4 linked regions of the Anolis sagrei genome follow. The protein of the gene in region 1 purifies or fractionates together with the protein of each later gene. This does not show direct contact. Links are inferred from orthologs where the notes say so. Each region holds a gene or a part of one and is shown on either strand. Other genes may lie near its edges. The genes, in order: SQSTM1, CD44, VDR and SPRED2.

Region 1 (7,455 bases):
ACAAGGCCTCCAGCAACTAGGTCCACCCCACACATTTCTGTTATTCGCTGCAGGATCGCATTTACAAGGAGAGGCACGATGTGGGTTATGCACACATTGTTAGGAAGCGGAACAGGCCATGGCCCGTAATTGTTTTTAATGCCACTTCATAACCCTGTAAGTTGTAACCTGTGCAAGTATTACCTCTGAACATGAGCAGAAGACCTTTCTAAACCAACTGCTAGAGCCAGTCTCCACTGGCAAGCTTTTAGGTGGCAGACTGCCATTTCCAAGCAGATCTGGGCCTTTAGTTCAAGAGACTGACCACTGTTTTAAATTAGTATTAAACTAGGCTGTGACACCTGTTCCACATTAGTACAGAATATCCAGCTGGGGTTGCCAACTTCTTTGTGTGCAAAGGCACTGGATTTTTAACTGCTTCTCGACACAAACACTCAGTAAGAGAATGCTTCCCACCATATAACCTTGTCACTAAAGCCTAATACCAGATGAGTTGCCACTGCTTGCTGCGTGCCTGTAGCACATTGACTTATGGTGATCCCGTGAGTATCTCTGGGATTTCTTCTTGTTGTGGTGAGCCTCCAAGTCGCAGGTGGCGGCCCTAAAGCAAATCTATCATGGGGTTTTCTTGGCACGGTTTGTTCAGAGAGAGACTATTCTCCAGAGTCCTAGTCCAATACTCAGAGTACTACACTACACTGGCTTTCTTACATGAAGAGTAATCTAGTTTGGCCAATTCCTCTGGAATATAATCTACAGCATGTATTGGTTGGCAGCCCCCCATCCAAGAACTAACCAGTCCTGAACCTGCTTAGCTTCCAAGGTCAGACAAAATCTAGGGTACTTAGGGGCCAAGTAGGGTCCTTTCAGACAGGCCCTGTATCCCAGGATCCGATCCCAGGTTTTCTGCTTTAAACTGGATTATAGGAGTCCACACTGCCAGATAATCTGGGATAAACAGAAAACCTGAAATCAGATCCTGGAATATAGGGTCAGTCTGGAAGGGCCCTTAGCCACGAGTTACACAGTGCTTCTGGACATTCAACCCACCCCCTCCCAAAACCATATCTGGCAGGAAAAGCAATAATTTCTAGCTGCCGCCGCCTTCTTCCTGGACCTTGATCTGCCACTTCACAAAGCAAAAGCCCAGCTGGTGAGGTGGAGCAATGTTTACCTTGGAGAAAAGAAGGCTGAGAGGGAACATGGAGTGGCTTAGACCTTGGAAAGAATGTCACAGCAAGGTGGGGGGGGGGGATTAGTACACAGAGCAATGGATTCAAATTGCAGGGAAAAGATCCCACTTAAAAATTAGGAATAGCTTCCTAATGGTATGAGCTGTTTAACAATGGAGTGCGCTGCCAGGGAAGGCATCCCTTTCCCTGGAGATTTTATATCCTTTTATACATCCCAGATTATATGGCAGTGTAGACTCCAAGCAGACAACCTGGGATCGGATCCTGGGATATAAGGACAGTGCAGAAGGGGCCTAAGTGGCCATCTGTTGGGAGTGCTTTGGTTGGGTGTTACTGAATGGACTGGGTGGCCATTGGGATCCCTTCCATCTCTATGGCTCGATTCTAGGGTTGGCAGTCCCTTGCTATATTTATTTAGTGGGACTGGTTGTGAATCCCATAACAATGGGATGCCAGATCATCTCCTTCCTTGGGAGCCTTCTAATCAGAGGCATGATGGCCATCTGTCAGGAGTGCTTTGATTGTGGTGGGATGGGGTTGCCAACTTCTTTGTGTGGGATTAGGGGTCCCTTCTATGGCTCAATTCTAGGGTTGGCAGTCCCTTGCTGTATTTAGTGGGGCCAGTTGAGCATCCCTTGACAACAGGATGCCAGGGAGAGCACCTTCTAATCAGAGGCTAGATGGCCATCTGTCGGGAATGTTTCCATTGTGTCAGGATGGGGCCGGATGAGCATCCCTTGACAATGAGATCCCAGGGAGAGCATCTCCTTCCCTGGGGGCCTTCTAATCTGAGGCTGGATGGCCATCTGTCAGGAATGTTTTGATTGTGCCGGGATGGGGCCGGTCGAACATCCCTTGACAATGGGATGCCAGGGAGAGCACTTCCTTCCCTGGGGGCCTTCTATTCAGAGGCTGCATGGCCATCTGTCGGAAGTGCTTCAATTGTGGCGGGATGGGGTCAGATTAGAGGTCCCTTCTATGGCTCGATTCTAGGGTTGGCAGCCCCTTGTTGTATTTAGTAAGGCTAGTTGAGCATCCCTTGACAACAGGATGCCAGGGAGAGCACCTCCTTCCCTGGGGGCCTTCTATTCAGAGGCTGGATGGCCATCTGTCGGGAGTGTTTTGATGGTGCCAGGATGGGGCCGGTTGAGCATCCCTTGACAACAGGATGCCAGGGAGAGCACCTCCTTCCCTTCTATTCAGAGGGGGCCTTCTATTCAGAGGCTGGATGGCCATCTGTCGGGAGTGTTTTGATGGTGCCAGGATGGGGCCGGTTGAGCATCCCTTGACAACAGGATGCCAGGGAGAGCACCTCCTTCCCTGGGGGCCTTCTATTCAGAGGCTGGATGGCCATCTGTCGGGAGTGTTTTGATGGTGCCAGGATGGGGCCGGTTGAGCATCCCTTGACAATGGGATGCCAGGGAGAGCACCTCCTTCCCTGGGGGCCTTCTAATCTGAGGCCGGGTGGCCATCTGTCGGGAATGTTTCGATTGTGGCGGGTCGGGGCTGGATGTCCCCTGGGGGCTCCCACATTCCTTGACTCACCCTTGTAGTACATCTGGAAGGCGCCGGCGGGTCCGGGGCTGGCATTTCGGAGCAGGCCTTGGAAGAGCTCGGCCACCTTGTCGCGGATGGGCTGGAAGCGGGGCGGCCTGTCGAGGGCGAAGCGGCGGATCTCGCGGGTCACCTCTTCCTTGCCTAACAGGTAGGCCTTCACCGTCAGCGGGGCCATGGCGCAGCAGGAATTCCTCCGGACCGGCTTTCTCTCTGCCCTGGGCTCCAGCGGGGACTGCCTCTGCGCCTTGCCGCCCGCCCCGCGGCTCCTCTTATAGGCGGGCAGCGGAGGGGCGGGCGGAGGCTGGGAAAGCCCCTGCCTGGGGAGGACGGGCCAAGGAACAGGCAGGGAAGGAGGGAGAGAGAGAGGGAGGGAGGGAGGGTGACGCAAGGCCAAGTGGAGAGACATCACGCCACTGAAGAGCCTGGCAGTTTCCAGAAAGAGAGTTTGGTTTGTTTTTGTTTGCAAAAGGGAGGGAGGAGGCAGAGCCCCTTCTACACCAGGCATGGGCCAGCTTGGGCCTTCCTCCAGGTGTTTTGGACTTCAACTCCCACAATTCCTAACAGCCTACCGGCTGTTAGGAATTGTGGGAGTTGAAGTCCAAAACACCTGGAGGAAGGCCCAAGTTGGCCCATGCCGAAAATGAAGAATGACAATGTATCAACAACAAGGAAGGAGGTGGAAACATAGAAACGCGTGGCCTGGGCTTGGGAAAGGGGGTTGAAAGCCCCCTTGTCAGCGTTACTCAGCACCTTCTAGTTCTCCAAGCCCTGCGGGGGAAACAAGGGCGAACTTTGCCCTGCCGCCTCCCTGGAGCCTCCCGAGGCAGGCGCCGCCTCTTTTTGTCCAATTGCTGACTCACTGCGCCTTGCTTCCAGTGAAAAGGTAGGTAGGCCTCAAAAGGCACCTGGCTGCCCTGCCTGGCCCCACCTTTCCCTTCAGGTGTCGGGCCCAGAAGGGCAGAAGGGTCCCAGGACTCACCAGCCCCTCCTGAATCACACCCAGGTGGGCAAAACTGGCCCCAAACTGCATCAGGACACATCAACACTGACCATTTAGTGCTGTTTCAAACCAGTATTGATGAAAACAGTTTCACTGTGCAAGTGTTTACATAGGAACCAGATGGAGACCAGGATGTTTTGAGACCAGGATTCGTTTATGTTTTGTATACACCATATTTATTTATTTATTTATTTATGTATTGTATTTGTATACCACCCTTCTCAGCCAATCGGCGACTCAAGGAGGTTTCCAACAAATCAGTACATATAAAAACATAATACAGATAAAAACATTAAACAATATAAATAACCACAAAAGCAATAAAAATCATTAGCGTCTCATTATTATCAAGCATTGTCCAGTTCCATTGTCAAATCTTTCCTATATTAGCTACTCTGCATTTGTAAACTCTTGCTCGAACAGCCATGTTTTAACTTGCCTCTGAAACGTTAAGAGGGAGGAAGCAGATCTAATCTCCATAGGGAGGGTGTTCCATAGCCAAGGGGCCACCACTGAGAAGGCCCTGTCTCTCATCCCCGCCAAATGTACTATAGACGAAGGCGGGACCGAGAGCAATCTTAGAGTCCCCAGACGATCTTAGAGTCCCCAATGATTCGTAAGGGGAGACACGTTCGGACAGGTAAGTTGAGCCAGAACCGTTTAGGGCTTTATAGGCCAAAGCCAGCACTTTGAGTTGGGCCTGGTAGCAAACCGGCAGCTAGTGGAGCTGGCGCAACAAGAGGGTTGCATGCTTCCTGAGCGCCTTTCCTGTTAGCAACCTGGCTGCTGTTTGTTGGGCTAGTTGAAGCTTCCAGACCATCTTCAAAGGCAACCCCACGTAGAGAGCATTGCAGTAGTCTACATGGGATGTATAGACTACTGTATATACACATAAGGTAAAGGTAAAGCTTTCCCTTGACATTAAGTTGAATCATGTCTGCTTCTGGAGGTTACAGCTCATCTCCATTTCTAAGTAGAAGAGCCAGTATTATCCCTAGACGCCTCCAAGGTCTGTGGCCAGCATGACTGCATGGAGTGCCATTAACTTCCCTTATCTATTGATCTACTCACATTTGCATGTTTTCGAACTGCTAGGTTGGCAGAAACTGGGCCCAGCTCCCTGGATTCGAACCACCAACCTTTCAATCAGCAAGTTTAGCAGCTCAGCAGTTTAACCTGCTGCCCCACTGATGTTTCCCAGAAGTAATATTATTTACATGTCTGAGTATGGATACAAACCCTTGTTTCCAGAATCAGTCCAATGATATTTTTTTCCATCTCAGGGGCAACTTGAGAAACTTCAAGTTGCTTATGGTGTGAGAGAATTGGCCATCTGCAAGAACGTTGCCCAGGGAATACCCGGATGTGTTACCATCCTGTGGAAGGGCTCTTATGTCACCACATTGGAAGCTGGATCTGACAGGCAGGAGCTCACTCTGCTCCCCAGCCCAAATGTGGGAGGCTTCTTTCATGTCCCTGCATGGAAAGCTGGAGCTAACAGATGGGAGCTCACTCCACTGCCCAGATTCAAACCGCCAACCTTTTGGTCCGCAGTTCTGCTGGCATAAGGATTCAACCCATTGCCCCACTGGGGACTCCTAGTCAAATTTCAAAACCATTACACACACTGGCTCATAGAAGATCATTAGTTACCTGCTGTCCTGTTACCTGGATAGAGTTCCCTTTCGAACACATGAACTTTGTCCATTCTCTTTCCAGAGGTTTCTGAACTCCAAAACGATAAGTTTGCTGTTTGTTATATTATCTGCTGAAGCCTGCCAAAGGGGAACGAACCCAGTTGAGAAGGAGCCCAGAGTCATACTCCAACCCTCAAATCACTTCATTATGGTGGCTCAGGATGACCGTTGCAGGCAGCCCCCAAGTCACAAACATCTAAATTTCAAACAACTCATAGTTAAGAATGGAGGTGAGACAATAGGAAGTGAGAGGAATCTGCCCGTCAGGAAGGAAATTCACTCCCGAAAGAGTTATCAGGGGGAAAATTGGTATCCACAGAAGCTTTCTCACCAATCCTTGTTTCCACAGCATACCGGAGGTTTTGAAAGCCAATTATCACAGTGACAGAAAGTGTGGTAAACTCAGAACAGGGGCACAGACAGCAAAACAAACACCATTTAGCTGTTCCATAGAAATTCAACTTAAGAACAAACCTACAGAACGTATCCTGTCTGTAACTTGGGGGCTGCCTGTATGAAGTTACAGTCCATGCCCCCTGATAAGGAAGTACGCTTTGTTAGAAGCAACCAGGTTCATTTCTGTGTATATACATATGATATTTATACACATATATTCGATATATGTATTTGTGTGTGTGTATACACACACCCAGTTAACAACTACATAAATAAAGGAATTTAATGGGAGGAAAGATTGTTAGGAAGGTATTAAATTAAAATGATGAATAGGTGATTCTGTTGGATGTCCTCATATCATCAATAGAAGCTCACACAGGCCAACCTATGTACAAAGGTGGAAAAATTCAGATCACTGATCTTCTATATGTACATTGTACAGTATATGTACATATCAGTGATTCTCAACCTGTGGGTCCCCAGATGTTTTTGGCCTTCAACTCCCAGAAATCCCAATAGCTGGTAAATTGGCTGGGATTTCTGGGAGTTTTAGGCCAAAACACCCGGGAACCCACAGGTTGAGAAGCACTATACTATATGATCCCCAATGTATTCATTCTTTCAAAGTTTTGGTAAGAGGTGCTGATAATTTTACATTGCATTCTACTCTGAAATTGAAATAGGCTGAAAATAAATATTCAATTCAAAGATATTAAGTAATTATAAATGATTACACAACCATTCTTTCAGTTCAGTGAGTTCTGCTTCTAAGAAAACATGCGTAGATGTAACAGGAACAAATAGAGCAAGCCATCATCTTTAGCGAGCCATAGAGCAGGAGTTGCAAATGAGTGGATTAATGCACATTTGCTTACTGTTCCAAATGGCAGTATTATATTTTTAGAAATAAGATCGGGCACACCTGGGAATGATTTGTCTTTTGGACCCCCTCTAGCAGCTGACATTTGATGTTGATACTAAGGGGGTTTTTTTAGACCTGTTTGCAAAAATAAAACAACAACATATTGTAGGAAGAGACATTTATATGTTGCCTTAATGGAGATTCCTTTTGTTTTCATGTATTGTAAGTCTTTGTTAGCTGAATCTAATCTGTGTGTTCTTCTGGACATGCTCTTCTAAAACCGAACCAGATGGCAGTGAAAACATTACTGACATTAGCTATGACATTTTGCAGACTGTGCGTTGCTCAGATACAGTTGGCCTGCATCTCAAGATGGTTTGAAAGAGATGTAGCTCACAAAAGATGCTGCCTGAACCCTTGGGGAAACTGAAAGCTGATAATGAGGAGGCCAGGTTTCTATTTCATGCTGATGGCCTTCTTCTTTTCTTTTATTCCTTAGCAATACAGGGACATTACTGGCACTTTGGGTGATGTGCAGTCTATAGTCATTCTATGCAGTGCTGAGCCAGTTTGGAATCCTGGGTTTTGCAGTTTTACGAGGTCTTTAGTCTTCCAACATTGAAATCACAATACCATGCGAGCTCTTAGAATTCCAGTATTTATTTATTTAACACCAAAAGCATTGCATACATAAGTTTAAAACTGATAAAAATAGAAGGAGCACAAGTGACTACATAATTTTTGATCAAA
Region 2 (6,839 bases), on another chromosome or scaffold:
AAAGCTTTTTGGAAATGGCAAAAACAAGAGCACATGAAAATGACATTAGAGCAAACATCCTTAAACTGTTATTGGGGTCTCCAACTCCAGAATTCCTGACCACTGAACAAGCTGGCTATAGCTTCTGGGAGTTGGAAACCCAAACAGCTGAAGAGTCACAGTTTGAGGATGCTTGAGTTAGAGAAACGAAATCTACTCAAGTGGTTTTACCTAAACAGTTGGTCTGCTTTGGTGGTACCTAAGGAACTGAGCTACTGTCTTCCACAACTTATTGTGTCATGTAATATGGAGTGTTGAGAACTGCTAGGATTTCTATTTGAAATCCCAGCAGCATGGCTTATTTGAAGAAAGTGTAATGAAATTTTAACAAGAAGAGAAGGCAGGTTCTATGGTTGACCAAAAATAGCATAGAAAGTAATGATGTCACCAGCTCTCCCAGTATGAGTGGTTTCCTTCAAACATTTTCAAGTGTGGCATTGGAACAGTTATGAATCTCCAACACAACTTCTGGTAACTTATAAACAGAAATCATGGATATTGAATCTGTGAATAATGGGGTCAAACTGTATATGTTGAACTGAGAAAAAGTTAAATGTCGATTACAACTTTGTGAGCTTCATGAATAATCAATAAACCTTGGAAAAGTTACTTAACTGTGCAGTCCATAAAATCTAAGCCAGCAATGACCAGCTAGAGATTTCTAGAATTGTGGTCAGAAAGTAATTTTTCCAGGCTTTGACAAATCCAGCTTTACTTTCAAGTCTCACTAGCCTCTATCCAACACTATGGACTAGAATTCTATATCACATTAACTGGCTATCATAAAAGTAATATAAATGCTTTCTCTAGAGAGAAATTCCCTAGGGAGCTGAAAGTTATTTGAGAGAACCTTCACATCCTACCTGTTATTTACACATATATTTATTTCATTCAATGATATTACATTTGGCCAAAATGACATCGCAATACTGTCCCTTGAAAATAGGTTTACTGGAGATACAAATGGGGAAAGTATTTATACCACCAATGATCTTAACTCCATGAAAAAGCCACGGTCCTTAGCTCAGTGTGGGGTGGTGAGGAGAGATTTTCATTTGCAAAGCCATTTGTGACTACAAAGCTTGCCTGGAATGTACTGCATACCAACAAAAATATTCTGTAGCCATATCATAATACTTTGTTAAGCTTTTAAAAAGTTTCCAGTGAAGCATAGATGGAGCATGATATACATTTTGTTAACCGCACCAAAGAGTAGAACACATGGGGATAGTGGCTTTCTTCCATCTGTTCAAGAAAGCTTATGCCCAACATAATTGCAGGCTACAGTTACTTACTGAAGTTCTAATAGTTCATAGAAGATCAATGCTAAGTAAATAAAAGTATAACTAATCTACAGAATACATGTATATGCTACATGTATTCCAACATTTAAATCACACAAAGGTATCATATATCTCACAGAGAGCAAGAATGCTGTCTTATATATGGGAAATGCACACTCAAGTATCTGACTTCTTTTAAAATGAAACACACAATAATCACTGGGACAAATGCAATACTGGAATTTTTTCCCCTGATGATTCCAAAACGTGTTTGGAACTGTGTGCTCTGACACACCCATTTGCAGAGCTACAAGCATGCTGCAGTTTATTTCTAGATGCCCAATTAAATATAAAACTATCAAGAAGGCAATGAAAAAGTGTTTTGTTAGCCTCCCAGGAACTGGTTTGGGAGGGGAAATAAGGGGGAAAGGATAATAGATTCCCTTCAAAGCAGCTCAAGGCAATTTCTATTAACAATGAGTCTCTGTTAAAGGCACAATTATTACTCGTACTTCTGTATCGCATCAAACTTTAAGAGCATTTTATCATTTTGGGCATAGACATGTGATTTTTCTTAAACACATGAACCACTTTCATTCTCCAAATAAGCATTTGATTTCATTATTCACGGACGGACTTCAGAAAACTAGTTTTAGAAAATGAGTGATCCTCTCTTACTCTGACTGCAAGTTTGCTTCCAAATCTCACAGCCCTTGCTCAGATTAAGAGCTTTTAAAATGAGCTAGCATTTTCAACTTTTTCTCTTGAGTTAAATGCTCACATTTTCATCCCTGTTACAATGAAAAGAAGGCATTACAGCTTCTGCATGTCTTATGTATGCAATCACATCTTTTTCACAAATACGTGAACACAAAAATACAGCTATTGTAAGGCAGAAGTCATTCCATCCCTCCCAAACACACACCAGACTGTCTGCTTCACAGAAAGAAAGCATCAAAAATAAATACATAACTGCGGTTTCCATCACTGAATATAATCCAGATGTGTTAGAAGCTTTTTCATTCCCTAGTATATACTGTTAACTTTAACTATCAATATTCTCCCTTCAGTTTTTATAACTTCTGCATTTCTATACTTTTCTAACTTATATACAGAGGCATTGGTAAAACAATGCACATGTTACAGTTCAGTGTCATGGTCATTGGAGAAACAGTGAAATGTCAAAGAAACTGAACATGCCAGAAATTCTCCAGCTGCCAAACTGCCACTGTTTTGTTATCGAAAACATACGAAGAGAAATCAGCAAGTATGAGAGATTTCATTCATAAGTCACTTACCTATCTGTGCTGAGCAAAGCTGCAACAAGTAAAGTCCAACAGCTGCACACAACCAGAACTTGGCCATTGTTTGCTCCTCGGGTTAATGTGCAAAAGGCAAGAAGTTCTCCTCACAGCCTATACAAAGGAGAGACGAGGGGTGGGGGAGGTCCCAGGTCTTGTCAAGTCTGCTCAGAGAGCCAGCCTCTGAAGTTTGCTGCAGTTCTTATTCCAATTCAAAGTAACTGAAGGAGTGACTTAAGAGGGAGGGGAGCAAGATGAGAAGTCACACCCATGTTGAAACAAAAGTGACTAGGCAAAAAGGGGAGGAGAGAAGGCTACTACTTATGAGTAAGCACAGTTACTAGCAACATTTAATGGAGGCTGTAAATGGCTTTTACTCATCCCAGTGAAGTCAGAGGGACAGTTGTGCTGGAAAAGATGTGCAATGCCATGTGGTTTTGGAGAGGGAGGGAGGGAGGCTCTCCCAAAGCTTATTCAGGCACCTAGAATTATTGATTTTCTAAAATGAGCTTTAATCCCTTTACCCTTCTCTCTCCACCCCACCCCCCCTACATGTTCACTGCAATAAGCAGAGAGCACAAGCAAGAAATGGCATTACATTATGGCTCTGCCAGGAGTCTTCTCTTGATCCAATCATCTCTGCAGCAGACATCATAAATCCATTTATGTTTCTATGCAGCTCTGCAACATCATCCACCAAAAGTGTATTGCATATTTCACAGAAGACGGGGATATATTTTTTCATTAGTTTTCTTTTTGTGGTTCTGAATCCAGAAATGAAATGTCTATATAAGAACCAGGATGAAATGTGCATACTCCAAATGCAGGTACCATACACATATTTCCCCAGGGAGAGAACCAGATAGCATAAATCAGAATCCCAGACCTCTTTAGATTACTATAACTAAAACAAGCCTAGTAAAAAAATTAGAGAATGGGAGAGAATTAAATTTCATTTCCCAAGGCTGGACCTACAATTTGGCAAAGGAAAATGGCCACCTTCATCCACTGGCATGAAGTGTTGATCAATGCAAAGCTGGGATTTAGTTTTAGGACTCTCTGTGGATGTTCAAGTTCCTTTATAAATAGCAGCATAGTGAAATGGTTTCACTTATATAAAATGGCAAAATCAAGGCTTGCTTTGGGGCATTTTAAAAAAGTATTTTCAAGCCATGGATGGTTATATTTGTGGGTGCAGAATCCATGGATGTGGTGGTCTGCCTGCATTAATGTTAAAAATTTAATAACAGTGAAGAGTACGGGAGGATATTTTTTTGACCTATGTATCGAAATGCAGTACGAGGGGCCATGGTGGTGTAGTGGGTTAAATTGCTAAGCTGCAGAACTTGCTGACTGAAAGGTCAGCAATTTGAATCCACAGAACAGGGTGAGTTCCTGTTGCTAGCCCCGGCATTACCAACCTAGTAGTTTGAACACATCCAAATGTGAGGAGATCAATAGGTACCACTGGCAGGAAGATAATGGCACTCCATGCAGTCATGCTGGCCACTTGACCTCTTCAACTTAGAAATGGAGATGAGCACCACCCCCTAGAGTCAGACTCGACTAGACTTAATGTCTAAACCTCAGCAGACTGAAAGCCAAAACCAAGGTTACAACAACATCTGTTATAGAACTCCAGTATGCTGATGACAATGTTATCTGTGCGCATTCAGAAGAAGATCTACAAGCCACTCTAAACACCTTTGCAGAAGCATACAAGAAGCTCGCCCTGTCATTGAACATCGAGAAAACCAAAGTGCTGTTCCAGCAGTTACCAGCCAACCCCTCTCTAATGCCAGAGATACAGCTTAATGGTGTAACATTAGAAAATGTTGACCATTTCCACTACCTTGGCAGCCACCTCTCCACCAAAGCCAACATTGACACCAAAATACAACACCGCCTGAGCTCTGCGAGTGCAGCATTTTTCCGAATGAAGCAGAGAGTGTTTGAGGACTAGGACATCCGTAGGGATACCAAGGTGCTTGTCTATAAAGCTATTGTCCTCCCAACCCTGCTATATGCCTGCGAGACATGGACTGTCTACAGATGTCACATGCAACTCCCGGAGTTGCGCTGCCTCTGGAAAATCATGCAAATCTCTTGGGAAGAGATGACAAATATCAGCATGCTGGAAGAAGCAAAGACCACCAGCACTGAAGCAATGGTCCTCCGCCATCAACTCCACTGGACCGGCCACATTGTCCGGATGCCCAACCACCGTCTCCCAAAGCAGTTACTCTACTCCGAACTCAAGAACGGAAAACAGAATGTTGGTGCATAGGAAAAGAGATTTAAAGTTGGGCTCAAAGCCAACCTTAAAAACTCTGGCATAGACACTGAGAACTGGGAAGCCCTGGCCCTTGAGTGCTCCAGCTGGTGGTCAGCTGTGACCAGCAGTGCTGCAGAATTTGAAGAGGCATGAATGGAGGGTGAAAGAGAGAAATGTGCCAGGAGGAAGGCGCATCAAGCCAACCCCAACCAAGACCACCTTCTACCTGGAAACCAATGCACTCACTGTGGGAGAAGATGCAGGCCAAGAATAGGGCTCCACAGCCACCTATGGAGCCACAAGAATACAGATCATGGAAGACTATCCTACTCGTCCAATGAGGGATCGCCTAAGTAAGTAAGTAAGATTTAATGTCAAGGGGAAACCAATACCTTTTTATCAAAATACGGTAATTGCCCACCCTGGGTAGTATGTTTATATAATTTATGATAGTGGATGGAAAGCTACTACTACTTTGTATCAGCAATGTCTTAATCCCACACTGTCATAATTTCAGAGCCGTCCCACACAGGCTTAATTGTTTTGAAATCAAGCAGGAAACTATGACTTCTGTGAATAATTGCCCCATATTATTTCAAGAACCATCAGCTGTGGAAGAGCCTGAAATAATTAACTATTTCAGGCTCAACTAGCAGCCTTTGTAGCAGTTTAAATTAGGAATATATCGTGATATATTCCCAATTTAAACAGCTACAAAGGCTGCTATTTGATTCCTGAGAAAAACATAAAATTGCTATGTTGTTGCAATTCTGGATCATATGTATTTGATAAAATGTTGGGGGATCCTAACCACAGAACTCCCAAGTTACATCTAATTAATTACATACTGAAATGCTTGTTTTTGTTCTTGTAGATTCAAATGCTATTTAAGATAGACTGAACACATTCTATTAACAATAAATACAAACAAAACTTATTCCAAAAGGCACTTATAGAACTGTCCTCCACCCCAAAAATCTCCTCATTCATCTTGTTAAAAGAGACATTTTTGGCCAATTTAACCAACAGCACTTACATTTTGTGTTGACTTACCAAGTTCCTGTTAATTTAGTGAGACTAACGATTATAGTTAAACCAGAGAAACCATCTAGTTCAGTATTTGGATTTGACAGTTAAGGGTTCATCTACACCAGTGGTTCTCAACCTGTGGATCCCCAGATGTTTTGGCCTTCAGCTCCCAGAAATCCTAACAGCTGTTAAACTGACTGGGATTTTGGGAGTTGTAGGCCAAAACACCTGGAGACCCACAGGTTGAGAACCACTGATCTACACTTTGTACAGTTTGACAACACTTTACCTCTCATGACTTAATGCTATGGAATCATGGAAGTTAGAGTTTCACAGGGTCTACAGCTTTCTCGGCCCAATAGTGCTGGATCCTCACTCCAACTCCCATGATTCTATAGCATTGAGCCATAGCAGTTGCACTACTGTCAAACTGCATTAATTTTATTGTGTAATATTAGTTTACTATCTGTGAAGTTCACTCCTGGAAGTAGGCAGCTCCTGGAGCCCTTCCACCCCAGCCCTATATCCCAGATTATCAAGGCAAAAAATCCCACATTATCTGAGTGTGGATTCAGATAACCCAGTTCAAAGCAGATATTGTGGGATTTTCTGCTTTGATATTCTGGGATACAGGGCTGTGTGAAAGGACCCTCAGATCATAGAATCATAGAATCAAAGAGTTGGAAGAGACCTCATAGGCCATCCAGTCCAACCCCCTGCCAAGAAGCAGGAATATTGCATTCAAATCACCCCTGACGCAATTGATATGCAGATATGCACATCGATTTCTCACTCTTTCTCTCAATTCCACCTTCCTATGTCTTCATTCTTCTTGTTATGTGACATCAAGTCATTTCCAATTTATGGTGATCCTAACATGAACTTATAACAGAGTTTTCCTAAAAACATTTA
Region 3 (7,090 bases), about 100 Mb from region 1:
GAGGAGAGAGGGTGGGTTAAAAATAAACTATTATCATTATTATTATGTCACAGCAAATGAGATCTATATGCTGGATTTCATATCACAAAATCACAAGTCAAACACTTCCCAAGCGTCTAGGACTGTGTGATGTATTTTCGAATGATGCGTGCAGATCCAAGTAAGGTGGCTTTTTGCAGTTGACAGATCGTGATTTTGTCAATGTTTATTATTTCCAAATGCCGGCTGAGATTTTTTGGCACAGCACCCAGTGCGCCAATGACCACTGGGACCACCTGTACTGCTTTATGCCAGAGCCTTTGCAGTTCGATTTTGAGGTCTTGATAACGGCTGAGTTTTTCCTGTTGTTTTTCCTCAATACGACTGTCACCCGGTATGGCGACATCAATAATCCAGACTTTTTTCTTTTCCACAATTGTGAAGTCTGGCGTATTGTGTTCCAAAATTTTGTCAGTCTGGCTTCGAAAGTCCCATAGTATTTTTGCGTGTCCATTTTCTACTACCTTTGCAGGTTTATATTATTATTATTTTACTGACACAAAAACACAGTAAGTCACAGCAAACGAGATCTATACGCTGCATTTCGTATCACAAAATCACAAGTTGAATATTTCCTAAGCGTTATTGTTATTATTATTATTATTCTACACAACCATTAATAAGGAGGGCACGTCCCCTTTCCGGTTGTCAGTCTGTCAACCATATCTAAAGCCATGATCACTGAGGACCAATCCAAACAATTGACAGCCTAAGCAACATCCATCGCTTGAGAGTGAACACTACAGGGTCATTTTCTTCTTAGGACACGTCCCCTTTCCGGCTGTCAGTCCGTCAACCATATTTAAAGCCATGATCACTGAAGACCAATCCAAACAATTCGACAGCCTAAGCGACTCTCACCTATCCATCTGGATAGGTGAGAGTGAACACTAGTGTCATTTTCTTCTTAAATTGCGACAACTATGTGCAGAACTATGTACTGGAGAGTTGCTCCTTTGGATTAAAACTCCCAGAATCCACACTGCCCTATTGTGGCTGAGGATTTTGGGAACTGAGGTGTAAATGGGGCTCTGGATATAATGCACAGAGAGATGTAATCGGTGTCATGCACCGCTCTCCTCCCGTGTTGCCGCTTTGCAGTGCCTCCTTCCTCCCTTCGCTGCCATGTTTTCCTGGCCTTCTGAAGAGGCCTCCTTCCTCACAGTGTCTCCTTGGCAACGGCCTGGCCTTCTCAGGGCCTCCCTGGTGACGCTCTAGCACATTTTCCTTGATGGTTTCTCCTCCTGGAGCCTTGCTATCTATACACTGCCCTCTTGTGGTCATATTTAAACACTGCATCCATCATTTTTTCACTTTTGGGGGTCCTGTCCTCCAAAGAGGCCATGTTTTCAGTCGAAATCCCTCCATTGTTTTAAGTCAGGGAATGAAGGGTATGTGCGCCAGGTTTGGTCTAGATCCACCAAACCGCGTAAGAGCCTTTGTGGTACAAACCAACACATATAAATACATAGATAGGGTTGCTGTGAGTTTTCCGAGCCGTATGGACATGTTCCAGAAGCACTCTCTCCTGATGTTTTGCCCACATCTATGGAAGGCATCCTCAGAGTTTGAGGGGGTCAGTTGGAAACTAGGCAAGTGGGGTTTATATATCTGTGGGATGTCCAGGGTAGGACAAAAACGATTGTTTATGTGAGGTAGGTGTGACTGTTTCAATTTGCCATCTTGATTAGCACTTAATATGTTTTATGTAATCATGATGTTGTTGTTTATTGTTTGCGTTTTTGGTTTTTTATTCTGCTGTAATTTGTTGTTTGGGCCTGGCCTCATGTAAGCCACCCCGAGTCCCCATTGGGGAGATGGTGGCGAGGTATACATAGAATCATAGAATCACAGAATCAAAGAGTTGGAAGAGACCTCATGGGCCATCCAGTCCAACCCCCCGCCAAGAAGCAGGAATATTGCATTCAATGCACCCCTGACAGATGGCCACCCAGCCTCTGTTTAAAAGCTTCCAAAGAAGGAGCCTTCACCACACTCCAGAGCAGAGAGTTCCACTGCTGAACGGCTCTCACAGTCAGGAAGTTCTTCCTCATGTTCAGATGGAATCTCATTTCTTGTAATTTATTATTATTATTATTATTATTATTATTAGCCTTGCAGCTTCAAAGCCTGGCTGCTTCCTGCCTAAGGGAATTGACATTGCTAGTTAGCACAAATGTATGGCTGTCCTTTTCGAATACGACGCCTGGCAAACTATAACTGAGAACGTGAGGCAAGGGGTGCATCCACACTGTAGAATTAACGCAGTTTGACACCACTTTAGCACAAATGTATGGCTGTCCTTTTTGAATACAATGCCTGGCAAACTATAACTGAGAATGTGAGGCAAGGGGTGCATCCATACTGTAGAATTAACGCAGTTTGACACCACTTGGAACCGCCTTGGCTCAATGCTATGGGATCCTGGGAGTTGTAGTTTGATAGGGCAAAGAGAGCTAACAACCTCATAAAACTACAATTTCCATGAGTGCGTATCATTGAGCCAGGGCAGTTCCAAGTGGTATCAAACTGCATTAAGTCCACAGTATAGACGCACCTATGAAAGTTACTGACAATGTAGTAGTAGTAATAGTCCTCTGGAGAACATATAAAAGGCGGGAAAGTTATACATAAATCCATCCCTTCTCCCAACCCTTTTCTGATCTCAAACTCATTCCCCCAGTAACAACCATCACAATCACAGCCGCCCACATGATCCCAACTTTTATTTACCGGCTTCTGCCTTTCTCCGACTGAGGTCTGCTTCTACAACGTCGCCGGACACGTCCACACGCGCGCCTACACCAGATTCGCCTCGCCTCAGCTGCGCGTGCGCAGAATCCCCCTCTTTAACTTCGCTCCCGGTCCCGGCTCTCACTCACTCCCTCAAAGTCCCGCCCCCGCTTCCAGCAACCGCCTATTAACTGGAAACGAACATCTTCCTGACCACGCCCACTTCCCAAATCGTCCCCGCCCTCTAGGAGAGCGGGGCTCTGCCTTGGCTCCTCCCCCTCAAGCCCATGGCTTTTAGAGGCCCCGGGTTCTAGCCCCGCCCCTTTCCTGCTCCTCTTCTCCCACATGTGAGGGCTCAGGGGGCGGGGACAAGCGAAGCCTCCTCTCGTGGCCCCTCCCACCCTGACCCCGCCCCCTTCCTGAAGTTGGAACTCAACTTCCAAGAACAGGAAACTGGGAGTCAGCTCTCAATAAGGGATACACTCTTCACAGCTGAGCATGCTGGATGTCACAACTGTAAGATCCCAATAGGAGAGAAGTGTCCCCAAGTGACTAAGGGCCCTTCCAGACAGGCCCTATATCCCAGGAGCTGAACCCAGGTTTTCTGCTTTAAACTGGATTATATGAGTCCCCACTGCCAGATTTTCTGGGATATAAAGTGAAGCAATTAAGGGGGCTCAAACCAGGTAGAGCAGGTAATGAAAGTGTTAAAGAGATATACACTATAGTTTACAGCAGGGGTCCTCAAAGTTTTTAAACAGAGGGCCAGGTCACATTCCCTCAAACTGTTGGAGGGCCGGATTATAATTTGAGAAATCAAACAAATATGAATTCCTATGCAAACTGCAAATATCTTATTTGTAATGCAAAACAACTTACAACAATACAATAATTAAAATGAAGAATAATTTTAACAAATGCAAACTTATTAGTATTTCAATGGGAAGTGTGGGCCTGCTTTTGGCTGATGAGATAGGGTTGTTGTTGTTGTGTACTTTCAAGTCGTTTCAGACTTTGGCTGACCCTGAGCGAGGGCCGGGTAAATGACCTTGGAGGGCCGCATCCGGCCCCCAGGCCTTAGTTTGAGGAGCCCTGGTTTACAAGAAACACTGGTATGAAATGGCATCATTTAGACCATTGGGATGTACAGTTTTAAGGGTAAAAATCCAAAACAATTCACGTTGTAATAATATTCTGGGGTAATCAGAAAACCTGGGATCAGATCCTGGGATATAGGGACTGTCTGGAAGTGCCCTAAATGGACTTTAAGAGGTGGGGGTTGGAATTCCGATTAGATCATCATTATAATTTATATAGCTTTTAAGTAACCACCAGAACTACTATTAAGTTTTAAAGAATGTGTATATATAAATGATATACTGTTCATCTCTCTCTAATGAATACTTCCTACCTACCTGTCTATCTACCTGTGTGTATTTATTTGTTATTAAACCACTGAGCTTGTTGACCGAGAGGTAGCAGGTTCGAATCCGGGGAGCGACATGAGCTACCGCTGTCAGCCCCAGCTTCTGCCGACCTAGCAGTTCAAAAACACGCAAATGTGAGTAGATCAATAGGTATCGCTCCGGTGGGAAGATAACGGTGCTCCATGCAGTCATGCTGACCACATGACCTTGGAGGTGTCTACAGACAATGCCAACTCTTCGGCTTAGAAATGGAAATGAGCACCAACCCCCAGAGTGGGACACGACTGGACTTAATGTCAGGGGGAAACCTTTACCTTTACCTATTTATTTTTTATTTATTTTACTCTGCCTTTCTCCGCAACTGGACCAAAGGTGGCTTACAAACATATATGTAGAGATATATAAATGCCAATCTGAATCTCTCTTCATCCAGTTTTCTTCATACATTTTTTCTTCTTATTTTAACCTTGTTCATATTAAGATTCAACTGGCCTGGATTGTGTAGCCATAAAATCTTCCCCATGGCCTGTCAAAGATGTTTGCTGGGCCCTTCTTTGCCCATGTCATGAGTCAGACCTAGAGAATTATATAAATAATCTATATTAATAAAAATGTAATGTTCGTTTGTGGGATTAACATAACTGAAAAACCACTGGACGACTTGACACCAAGTTTGAACACAATACACCTATCAGACCAATGAGTGAACATCACTCATAAAAACACTGAAAAACACAGCAGAAGAGACATAAAAGGCCAAAAAACAAAAATTAATTACAACAAATGCACAAAACCATATATATATATATATATATATATATATATATATATATATATATGGTGGAGACATCTTTTCCCCATGATAACTCTTTCGGGAGAGAATTTCCTTTCTGAAGAATAGATTTCTTTCACTACCTTTGTGTGTGTGTAGGTACGTTTGTGTATATGTTCCCCTAGAATTTACTTCCAGTATCCCTATGGATACCAAAATCCATAAGCTGTCAAATCCCATTATGACATAGTAAAATGATGTTCCTTGTATAAAAATACTAAACAACCAAAAAATTGTGTTTCACAGATGCAGTCCAGGGGAAATTCATTTAAAAGTCTCAAGTTAACAAGGAATCTTTTAAATTAATTAAATTAAATTAATTAAATTAAATTAATTAAAGGAATAAGTTCTTGTGTTATTTTTATAATGACTCTGTTTTGGGTTAAGTTTATTTATATATTTTCATTTTGGTACAAAGGATTCCTGAAAACTGTAGATTTGGGTAGAGTGTTAGGAGTCTTACTAAAATACCTAGTACAATTTCATGTTCACATAGCTGTAGATGCATAGCACTTTAGGCCACAATAAAGTATAGAGTATGAAGTAAATAAAATGCACATTATCACAATGCAGTTACTATGCAATTGAAAGTCTTGCTTTTGGGCCAAGTCAGCGTTTCATAAATGAAAAACAGAACATGCATGGCCTAGCACCAGAGCAAGATAGGAAAAGGCATTAATGAGGGAAAACAGACCAGTTAGGAGATGCTGCCACAGATTGCTTTTGCCTGAGCTGATAGGGAAGCAGAAAACTCCAGCCATCCTTTCCTCCCACTGTGATAACTGAATACTAACTACTTCTGCATTTTTGTACTGGTCTCCTGGGCTGTAGTCCAAGATTATGGAAAACTCTGGCAGCTCCCTTCTGATTTCAACGTGGTTTGGCACTTTCCCTTCTCTGGCTGAAAGGACACAATTTGTACCTTCTGTGTGGCGATCAACAGGTTAGTGAGGTAAGCAAGGCACCCACACGCATGGCTTTTTGTCAGGAAGGAAACAATGCGTCACCATAAAGTATGTACCAAACAAGAAACAGGTATTTCGTCAAAAAGTAAAGGCAAATTATTGTTTACTTTTGGACAACACAGACATTGTTAATGGTCTGTGGTGAAAGAAAGAAAAAACTGTTCCCAAAACTCTGGAGGATAAAATATTATCAGGCTAGGATGTAAAGGGACATTTGTGGTGCTTCTTTTTCTGTGGGAAGGGAAAAAGAAACCATTTTCTCTTATCTTCACCCACTCGTCTACAGAAGCAACGTCCTGGTGGGAAAAGCTAATGCATTGCCTTTCCTAGGGTGCATCTACACTGTGGAATGAATGCAGTTTGGCTCCACTTTAATTGTCATGGCTCATTGCTAGGGAATCCTGAGAGATGGAGTTTGTTGGCAGAGAAGGCTAAATAACTTGTAAAACTGTTATTGAGCCACTGTATCCCCTTTCCAAATTAATCTGGACCAACAGAAGACTCCACAAATATATGTATGATTTCTAAAGCAGCTGAAATCCTTGGGAGGACCTAGCAGCAATTGTACCCCAAACTATCTAATTAAACCATTCAATAAATGTACTGAATCATATTTTGGTGTATGTTTGTGCTGTCGCGCGCTGGGCCTATGACAATGTTTACAGGACGTGCTTTCTGTATGCCCAACGGGATGCCGGGGTGCCTCAGATAAAGGGTCCCATAGGTTTCCCAACACAAAGTTCTTTATTAAGGTGTAAATCTTCGAATAAATGAATTAAATTCTATATAATCTTGAAAAACGGGTAGCTTTTTCGATCTGCCAAAAAGGGACAGGCAACTGCTTGATAAACTGTTCCTATCTTCTTTAGGGAAACCTTCTGACCCCTCCTTGGGCAATCTTTCTTTACCCTGCTGGCGTGAGGCCCCAACTCCCAGCTCCAAGCTGCGTTATGGATAGCCCGAGTGGCCCCTTAACAGGCAATGGTTGCTGTAGCTCTGCCAAGCTGGTGTCCTGTAGATTTGTCCCACGAAGGCCATGGAACCATTCCTTTATTTTCCAGCAAAGCTGGCTGTATTTTCCTTTTTCCCCAGCA
Region 4 (7,625 bases), on another chromosome or scaffold:
ACACCTGGGAGGATGAAGCTTATCCATTCCTGGCCCAAGGTATTTTGAGAAGAATTACTTGCTGTCCTTTCTCCATTTTCAGACAGTGGAATGGGCACCAGTCAAAATCCTTTGCATAGATGTCTCAGATCACACTGAGGCAAGAGTAGTAGTAGGAAAACAGCAGTCACTTCCCATTTCTAGGTTGGAAAGGCCTGGAATAAGCTCCGCTGAGGAAGCCCAACTCCTGACCCGGCCTTGTGGCCTCCCAACACTCTCAACTCAGGCTGGATCTACACTGCCCTATAAAGCCCATTTCAGAACACATTATTTGGATTATATGGCTGGATGGCCATCTGTCAGGGGTGCTTTGATTGTTTTTTTCCTGCGTGCCAGGGGGTTGGACTAGATGGCCCATGTGATCTCTTCCAACTCTATGGTATGTGTCTACACTGGCAGATAATCCAGTGCCCTTCCACAATGCCATATAACCCATAATATCAAGGCAGATAACCAACAATATCTGCTTTCATAGAATAATAAGAGCTGGAAGAGGCGACATGGGCCATCTAGTCCAACCCCCTGCCAGCAGGAAAAGGACATCAAAATACCCCTGACAGATGGTTTAAGTTTCCAAGGAAGGAGCTTCCACCAGACTCCGGGGTCTTTTCTGCCTTGATATTCTGGGTTATATGGCTGTGTGGAAGGGCCCTCAGACAACCCAGTTCAAAGTAGATATTGTGGGATTTTCTGCCTTGATTCAAAGTAGATATTGTGGGATTTTCTGCCTTGATCTTCTGAGTTATATGGCTCTGTGGAAGGGCCCTCAGCTAACCCAGTTCAAAGCAGGTATTGTGGGATTTTCTGCCTTGATTCATAGTAGATATTGTGGGATTTTCTGCCTTGATAGTCTGGGTTATATGGCTGTGTGGAAGGGCCCTCGGATAACCCAGTTCAAAGTAGATATTATGGGATTTTCTGCCTTGATTCATAGTAGATATTGTGGGATTTTCTGCCTTGATCTTCTGGGTTATATGGCTGTGTGGAAGGGCCCTCAGATAACCCAGTTCAAAGTGGATATTATGGGATTTTCTGCCTTGATTCATAGTAGATATTGTGGGATTTTCTGCCTTGATCTTCTGGGTTATATGGCTGTGTGGAAGGGCCCTCGGATAACCCAGTTCAAAGTAGATATTGTGGGATTTTCTGCCTTGATTCATAGTAGATATTGTGGGATTTTCTGCCTTGATCTTCTGGGTTATATGGCTGTGTGGAAGGGCCCTCGGATAACCCAGTTCAAAGTAGATATTGTGGGATTTTCTGCCTTGATTCATAGTAGATATTGTGGGATTTTCTGCCTTGATCTTCTGGGTTATATGGCTGTGTGGAAGGGCCCTCGGATAACCCAGTTCAAAGTAGATATTGTGGGATTTTCTGCCTTGATTCATAGTAGATATTGTGGGATTTTCTGCCTTGATCTTCTGGGTTATATGGCTGTGTGGAAGGGCCCTCAGATAACCCAGTTCAAAGTAGATATTGTGGGGTTTTCTGCCTTGATACTCTGGGTTATATGGCTGTGTGGAAGGGCCCTCAGTTAACCTAGTTCAAAGTAGATATTGTGGGGTTTTCTGCCTTGATATTCTGGGTTATATGGCTATGCGGAAGGACCCTCAGAAACACACGCTGCTGCTGCTTCTTCTTCTTCGTGAGCCTGGGACTGTTCAGGAACGGAAAAGGGCGGCGACAGCCAGCCAGCCACCGAGTAAGTCAGTGAATGGAGGCAGCAGGCTGAAGGTTACCGGATTTATGAATGTCAGTGTCACGTGACAATAACGGGAAGCTGCCTGAGTCGCCGCCGCACGGGCGGAATTCTTATGAACGAGGAGAGAGAGAGAGAGACTGGCGGCCATCCCGACGCAGCCACCTTTCCCCGCCAACGAGAGAGAGCGCGGAGAGAGGCCTGCAACTCAGACAAGAGAGAGCCCAAACAACACAGGCTCCTGGGCCTCCTTTCCGCGCCGCAGGGCTGACTTGAGAGGAAAGTTTGGGCGCGTGGCCCCTCCTTCCTTCCTTCCTCTTCTCTCCCCTCCTCCCCCCCCCTCCAGGGAAGGGAGCGCGAGGCAGCCCGCGCGCGAACTCCTGCGGCCCTCGCGGCCTCTCCTGGCCAGAGAGAGCTCGAGTCTTGTTGTTTTTTTTATGAATGGAAATGTGGTATGCAAATGAGGCTGATTCAAGAAAGAAAGAAAAAAGCAGAAGACGGGGGTTGAGGGAGGGAGGGAAGAAGAAAGAAATGGCGGATGTGAGGGCAAGGGGGCGTGTGTGTGTGTGTGTTTACCCCCACCCACCTATCCCAAAACCTGAGGAGAAGAGGCTTGCAACTTGCCTCTTCCCCCCTCCCCCTCCCTTTAGGCCTCGCGGGCAGAAGAAGCCCTCAGGTCGCGCGCGCGCAATGGAGACGCAGAGCTCAATCAAGGACGGGCGCGCGAGGGGGGGGGGCGTCGCGAGCCCTTTCCCCCACTCCTTTCCCCCTCCCCCCTCCCCTTCCAGATGTTGTTTCCCGCCTCCTCATTTCACTTACTCGTCCGGGTGGGTGTCTTCGGTCATTTTCTCCTCCTGGAAGAGGCTCATCCCCCGCTGCGGGCGGCCCGCATTTTCTTCTCCCGAGCCTCACATTGCGCGGAAGGAGAGAGAGAGAGGAGAGGAGGAGGAGGGGGGAGGGGGAGAAAGAGGGGGTGCGCGTGCGAAAAGGGGAGGGAGGGGGGGAGAGAGAGCGTTGCCCGCGTGAGGCTCAGCGCGCGGGGAAGCAGCGCGGGCCCAAGAAGAGGAGCAGCCGGCGGCCCCCTCCGAGCCCCATCGCTGCCTTTACTCCATGTTGGATTCTTCAGCGCCAGCACTCTTGAGGAGGAGGAGGAGGAAGCGGGGCGGAAGCGATGACGTGATGTGAACAGCCCAGCTGCTTTCGTGAGCCTCCCCCCTCCAACAGAGCCAGGCGAGGAGCCTCTCTCCTTCCCTCCCTCCCTTCCTCGCGGGGCTCAAGATGGTTTGGCCAAGGTGCCTCCTCCTTTCGCCCCCCCTCTCTCGCGCTTCCTGGGCGCCCCGCCCCCTTTCTCTCTCTCTCTCTCTCTCTAAGCCACGCCCCCCTCCTCGTCGCGCGCTGGCTGGGATCTCCATGGCCCCGGGCGATACATTGAGCTCTCGGAGAGTGGCACACACGCGCGCGCGCGCGCGCCGCCCTCCTCCACAGTCGCCGCCTGGAGTTTGCAATGTTTTCTGCTGCCCTGAAGTCTCACTTCCAGGGCCAAAGAGGAGGAGGAGGCAGCTTTTGGGCGGGGCTTACAGGGAGGGAGGGAGAAGCGCTTCCCCCACACACTCGAAGGGGTTCTCAGGCCCCCTTTACACAGCTGTATAAAGTCCCACGTGATCTGTTTTGAACTGGGTTATATGGAAGTGTGGACTCAGGGCCCTTCCATACAGCCATATAACACAGAATACCAAGACAAAAAATTCCACAGTATCTGCTTTGAACTGGGATATATGGTAGTGTAGACTAAGGGCCCTTCCATACAGCCATATAACAGAATATCAAGGCAGAAAATCCCACAGTATCTGCTTTGAACTGAGATGTATGGCAGTGTGGATATCAAGGCAGAAAATCCCACATTATTTGCTTTGAACTGGGATATATGGCAGTGTGGACTCAGGGCCTTTCCATACAGCCATATAACACAGAATATCAAGGCAGAAAATCCCATAGTATATGTTTTCAACTGGGATATATGGCAATGTGGACTCAGGGCCCTTCCGTACAACCATATAACACAATATCAAGGCAAAAAATCCCACAGTATCTGTGCTGTCGCACGCTGGGCCTGTGCATAAGACTGTAGACAGGACATTATTATTATTAAACTTTATTTGTACCCCGCTAGCATCTCCCAAAGGATTCGATGCGGCTTACGCAGGCCGAGGCCTCAACACACAACATAACAATACAATCTAAGCAAATCAAACAATTAAAAACAGAATAAAGCAAAATGAACAACAGGCACAATACACTAAAACACAATAAAACTGGGCCGGGCCAGAGTAATGGGTACAAGAATTAAAAGTGCTGATGTGACAGGAGGTGTATATAAGGCTTCTGGGGCAAGTGCGATGTGCGATGTGCAGCAATCATTGGTTCTGGTAAAGTGCTTATGTGCCCAATGGGATGCTGGGGCTGCCTCAGATTAAAGGCCTTTGGATTTCCTTAAACAGAGTCTTTAGATTGCTCAAAGGTTTAACAAAGTTCTTTATGATTGAAATCAAACAGGAACTTTAAGGCTTTCTTAATAGTCTATTGGCTCTCTCTCAATCTTGTCCACTGGGAACAGGCACTATCTTCATAAACCGTATTTTAACAAATGGGGAAATCCTTAATTTCTAATTGGGCAGTCTGTCTTTGCCTCTGTTGGCACGGAGCCCCTACACCTGGTACCAACTGCTTCTGGCTTCCGCGAGTGACCCTTACCAAACAGAGCTTTATAGACCTCCAAGGAAAAAAGGAGGAGTTCAGGTTTCAGTGATGGTTGGCTGAAGTGCTGTGGGACCAGATTCCCTCAGCAAAGGAGCTGTAAGGCTGTATATCTCCCTGGCCAAGCCGTAGAAGACGAAGCTTTCTGCAAGAGCTCTTGGTTTTATGTCCTGTATGAAAGGCTTCTCTGTGTGGACTGAACCAAAAAGGCTCCTATTCCCTCAAAAAACCCCAAAAGGGGGCGGGACCAGGGAACCTAACTATAATTGACAGGTGGCTTGCCCTATGATTGCAGCCAAAAAGAAGCCACCTATCTGCAGAGTCCCTGAAACTTAGGACTACAACAAACATTCAATGCAAAGCAAACAAAATTAGAGCTCCTGGTACAGTTGTACCTGCAGAGTATTTGCTTTGAACTGGGATATGTGGCAGAAAATCCCACAGTATCTGCTTTGAACTGGGATGTATGGCAGTGTGGACTCAGGGCCCTTCCATACAGCCATATAACACAGAATATCAAGGCAGAAATTCCCATAGTATATGCCAGGGGTCCTCTAACTAAGGTCCCCTGGGCCGGATGCGGCCCTCCAAGGTCATTTACCCGGCCCTCGCTCAGGGTCAACTTAAATCTGAAATGACTTGAAAGCACATAACAACAACAACAACAATTCTATCTCATCAGCCAAAAGTAGGTCCATACTTCTCATTGAAATACAAATAGGTTTATATTTGTTAAAATTGTTCTTCATTTAATTATTGTATTGTTTTTAAATGTCTTTTGCGCTACAAATAAGATATGTGCAGTGTTCATGTTTTTGTTTCAAATTATAATCCGGCCCTCCAACAGTTTGAGGGACTGTGACCTGGCCCTCTGTTTAAAAAGTTTAAGGACCCCTGGTATATGCTTTGAACTGGGATATATGGCAGTGTGGACTCAGGGCCCTTCCATACAGCCATATAACAGAATATCAAGGCAGAAAATCCCACAGTATCTACAGGGTGAGGCAGCATAACTTCCTTTTTTCAAAATTTAATTCCCATTGTATGAATCAGATTTTAATTTTTTTTTTATAATGTAGGCACATACCTAAAGTTTTGTTTTACGTAGATCAAATTAGGTAGGTGACGCCCCCATTCTCCATACACTGAGTAAACCGATTTCTGGCGTTTGTCATGACTCTTGCCAGCATAGCAGGCGTTACGTTGGCAATTTCTTCCTGGATGTTGATCTTCAAATCTTGTTGGGTCCTTGGACAGTTCACATAAACACGGGATTTCAAAAACCCCATAGAAAAAAAATCACAAGGGGCCAAATCTGGAGGGCGGGCCGGCCACTCCAAATCCGCTCAAAAAGTAGGCCTCAACGGCAAAAGCACGCTCCTCACTGTTCCAACGCATGATGGCGACTGAACTGTGTCAGGACAAAACTTTATACTCCCGCCTCTCGAACGAGACCACTAGCGCTCCACTGCGTCTTCAGCAGACTGAATGGCACGCATTTAAAAAAAGGAAGTTATGCTGTCACACCCTGTACTTTGAACTGGGATATATGGCAGTGTGGGCTCACATAACCCAGTCAAAGCAGATATTGTGGGATTTTCTGCCTTGATATTCTGGGTTATATTGATGTGTGGAAGGGCCCTTGCCCCCCTTGTACACTACCATGTAATCCAGATTTTCAAAACCAATCACCCACATGATCTGCTTTCAACTGGATTATCTGAGTTTGTTGGTAGACAGAAAAAGAGATTTAAAGATGGGATCAAAGCCAACCTTAAAAACTCTGACAATACGCACTGCGAACTGGGAAGCTCTGGCCCTTGAGCGCTCCAGCTGGAGGTCAGCTGTGACCAGCAGTGCTGTAGAATTTGAAGAGGCATGAATGGAGGGCAAAAGAGAGAAACATGTCAAGAGGAAGGCGCATCAAGCCAAACCCGACCGGAACTGCCTTCCATCTGGAAACCAATGCCCTCACTGCGGGAGAAGATGCAAATCAATAAAGTGCTCTACAGTCACCTACGGACCCACCACAAACTGATCCTGGAGGACTATCCTACTCGGACAACAAGGGATCGCCTAACTATCTGAGTTTACACACACTGCCATACAATCCAGCGCAAAACAGCCCAATAACCAGAATATCAAGGCAGAAAATCCCACAATATCTGCTTTGAACCTGGTTATCTGGGGGCCCTTTCAAACAGTCCTTATATCCCAGGATCTGATTCCAGGTTATCCCAGGGCCCATCCACACAGCCCTATATCCCAGACTATCAAGGCAGAAAATCCCACATTATCCGAGTGTGGACACAAATAACCTAGTTCAAAACAGATACTGTGGGACTTTTTTGCCTTGATATTCTGGGATATTTGGCTGTGTGGATCGGCCCTCTGTTTGCAGTTCTTTTTTATTTTTAGAGGGCTTGTTTATGGCTTCCTCAAATAAGAAAGAAGAATCCTATGTGGGGTAATAAATCATGATGGCTATGTGTTTCAAATACACAACATGTGTATTTGAAACACTATTACATAATACTTATTGGGCAATTCTCCAAAACCTCACATGGATGTACAGTGGTGCCAGTAGTGATCGGCTCCATAGGATTTAGTGGCAATGTCTTCTCGTGTGAATGGCAAACATGGCACATGAGTTTGCAGAGTATGATGAAGCTGATGATCTAATAAGAGTGATTGCTTTTGACATACACAAATGATTTCCCAGCATGGTTTTATTACAATAGCACTGCAAAGCCATTGCTTCAGATCTGTTGCTTTGTATGTCATTTCTGGGTTCAGGACGTTTAGTGGCAACCAATGAAATAGTTCTCACTCAGCTCTACTCACTTCTCAGGAAACTAGCTAGGTTGGTGTTAGGGCAACATCTGGAGGGCTATATATGCTCGCCAGCCCTTCTTATTGAATTCATTTAGAAGAATGGGTTTTTTTACATGAATCCAGCTGCCATTAGTATCTTAAAAATACTCTCACTTAACACTGGCATCTAGGTTGCTGAAAAGAGCAGGAAGTAGATTTGCCTTTTGTGTAATGCTTTATTTAAGGCTTGGAAACTTCCTTTTACTCCCTTTGTTTCTAATCACAGCCAGCAGCTATATGGTGTAAAAAAGCCTTTGAT

The links.
Region 2: the proteins of SQSTM1 (region 1) and CD44 purify together in Homo sapiens (affinity purification with mass spectrometry; 3 studies listed by BioGRID and IntAct, counting the BioPlex papers as one, with this or other methods). This does not show direct contact. The link is inferred for Anolis sagrei from reciprocal best matches to the Homo sapiens genes SQSTM1 and CD44.
Region 3: the proteins of SQSTM1 (region 1) and VDR purify together in Homo sapiens (affinity purification with western blotting; 3 studies listed by BioGRID and IntAct, with this or other methods). This does not show direct contact. The link is inferred for Anolis sagrei from reciprocal best matches to the Homo sapiens genes SQSTM1 and VDR.
Region 4: the proteins of SQSTM1 (region 1) and SPRED2 purify together in Homo sapiens (affinity purification with western blotting; 3 studies listed by BioGRID). This does not show direct contact. The link is inferred for Anolis sagrei from reciprocal best matches to the Homo sapiens genes SQSTM1 and SPRED2.

The regions. Positions count from the first base shown.
Region 1 is NC_090022.1:86,649,217-86,656,671, forward strand, and holds the start of SQSTM1 (sequestosome-1), read right to left. Parts: upstream 3,013-7,455; 5' UTR 2,926-3,012; coding exon 2,739-2,925; intron 1-2,738. UniProt on the Homo sapiens protein: Molecular adapter required for selective macroautophagy (aggrephagy) by acting as a bridge between polyubiquitinated proteins and autophagosomes.
Region 2 is NC_090021.1:268,957,944-268,964,782, reverse strand, and holds the start of CD44 (CD44 antigen), read right to left. Parts: upstream 3,022-6,839; 5' UTR 2,688-3,021; coding exon 2,621-2,687; intron 1-2,620. UniProt on the Homo sapiens protein: Cell-surface receptor that plays a role in cell-cell interactions, cell adhesion and migration, helping them to sense and respond to changes in the tissue microenvironment.
Region 3 is NC_090022.1:191,049,247-191,056,336, forward strand, and holds the start of VDR (vitamin D3 receptor), read right to left. Parts: upstream 3,023-7,090; 5' UTR 2,773-3,022; intron 1-2,772.
Region 4 is NC_090021.1:154,161,779-154,169,403, forward strand, and holds the start of SPRED2 (sprouty-related, EVH1 domain-containing protein 2), read right to left. Parts: upstream 3,026-7,625; 5' UTR 2,608-3,025; coding exon 2,558-2,607; intron 1-2,557. UniProt on the Homo sapiens protein: Negatively regulates Ras signaling pathways and downstream activation of MAP kinases. Recruits and translocates NF1 to the cell membrane, thereby enabling NF1-dependent hydrolysis of active GTP-bound Ras to inactive GDP-bound Ras.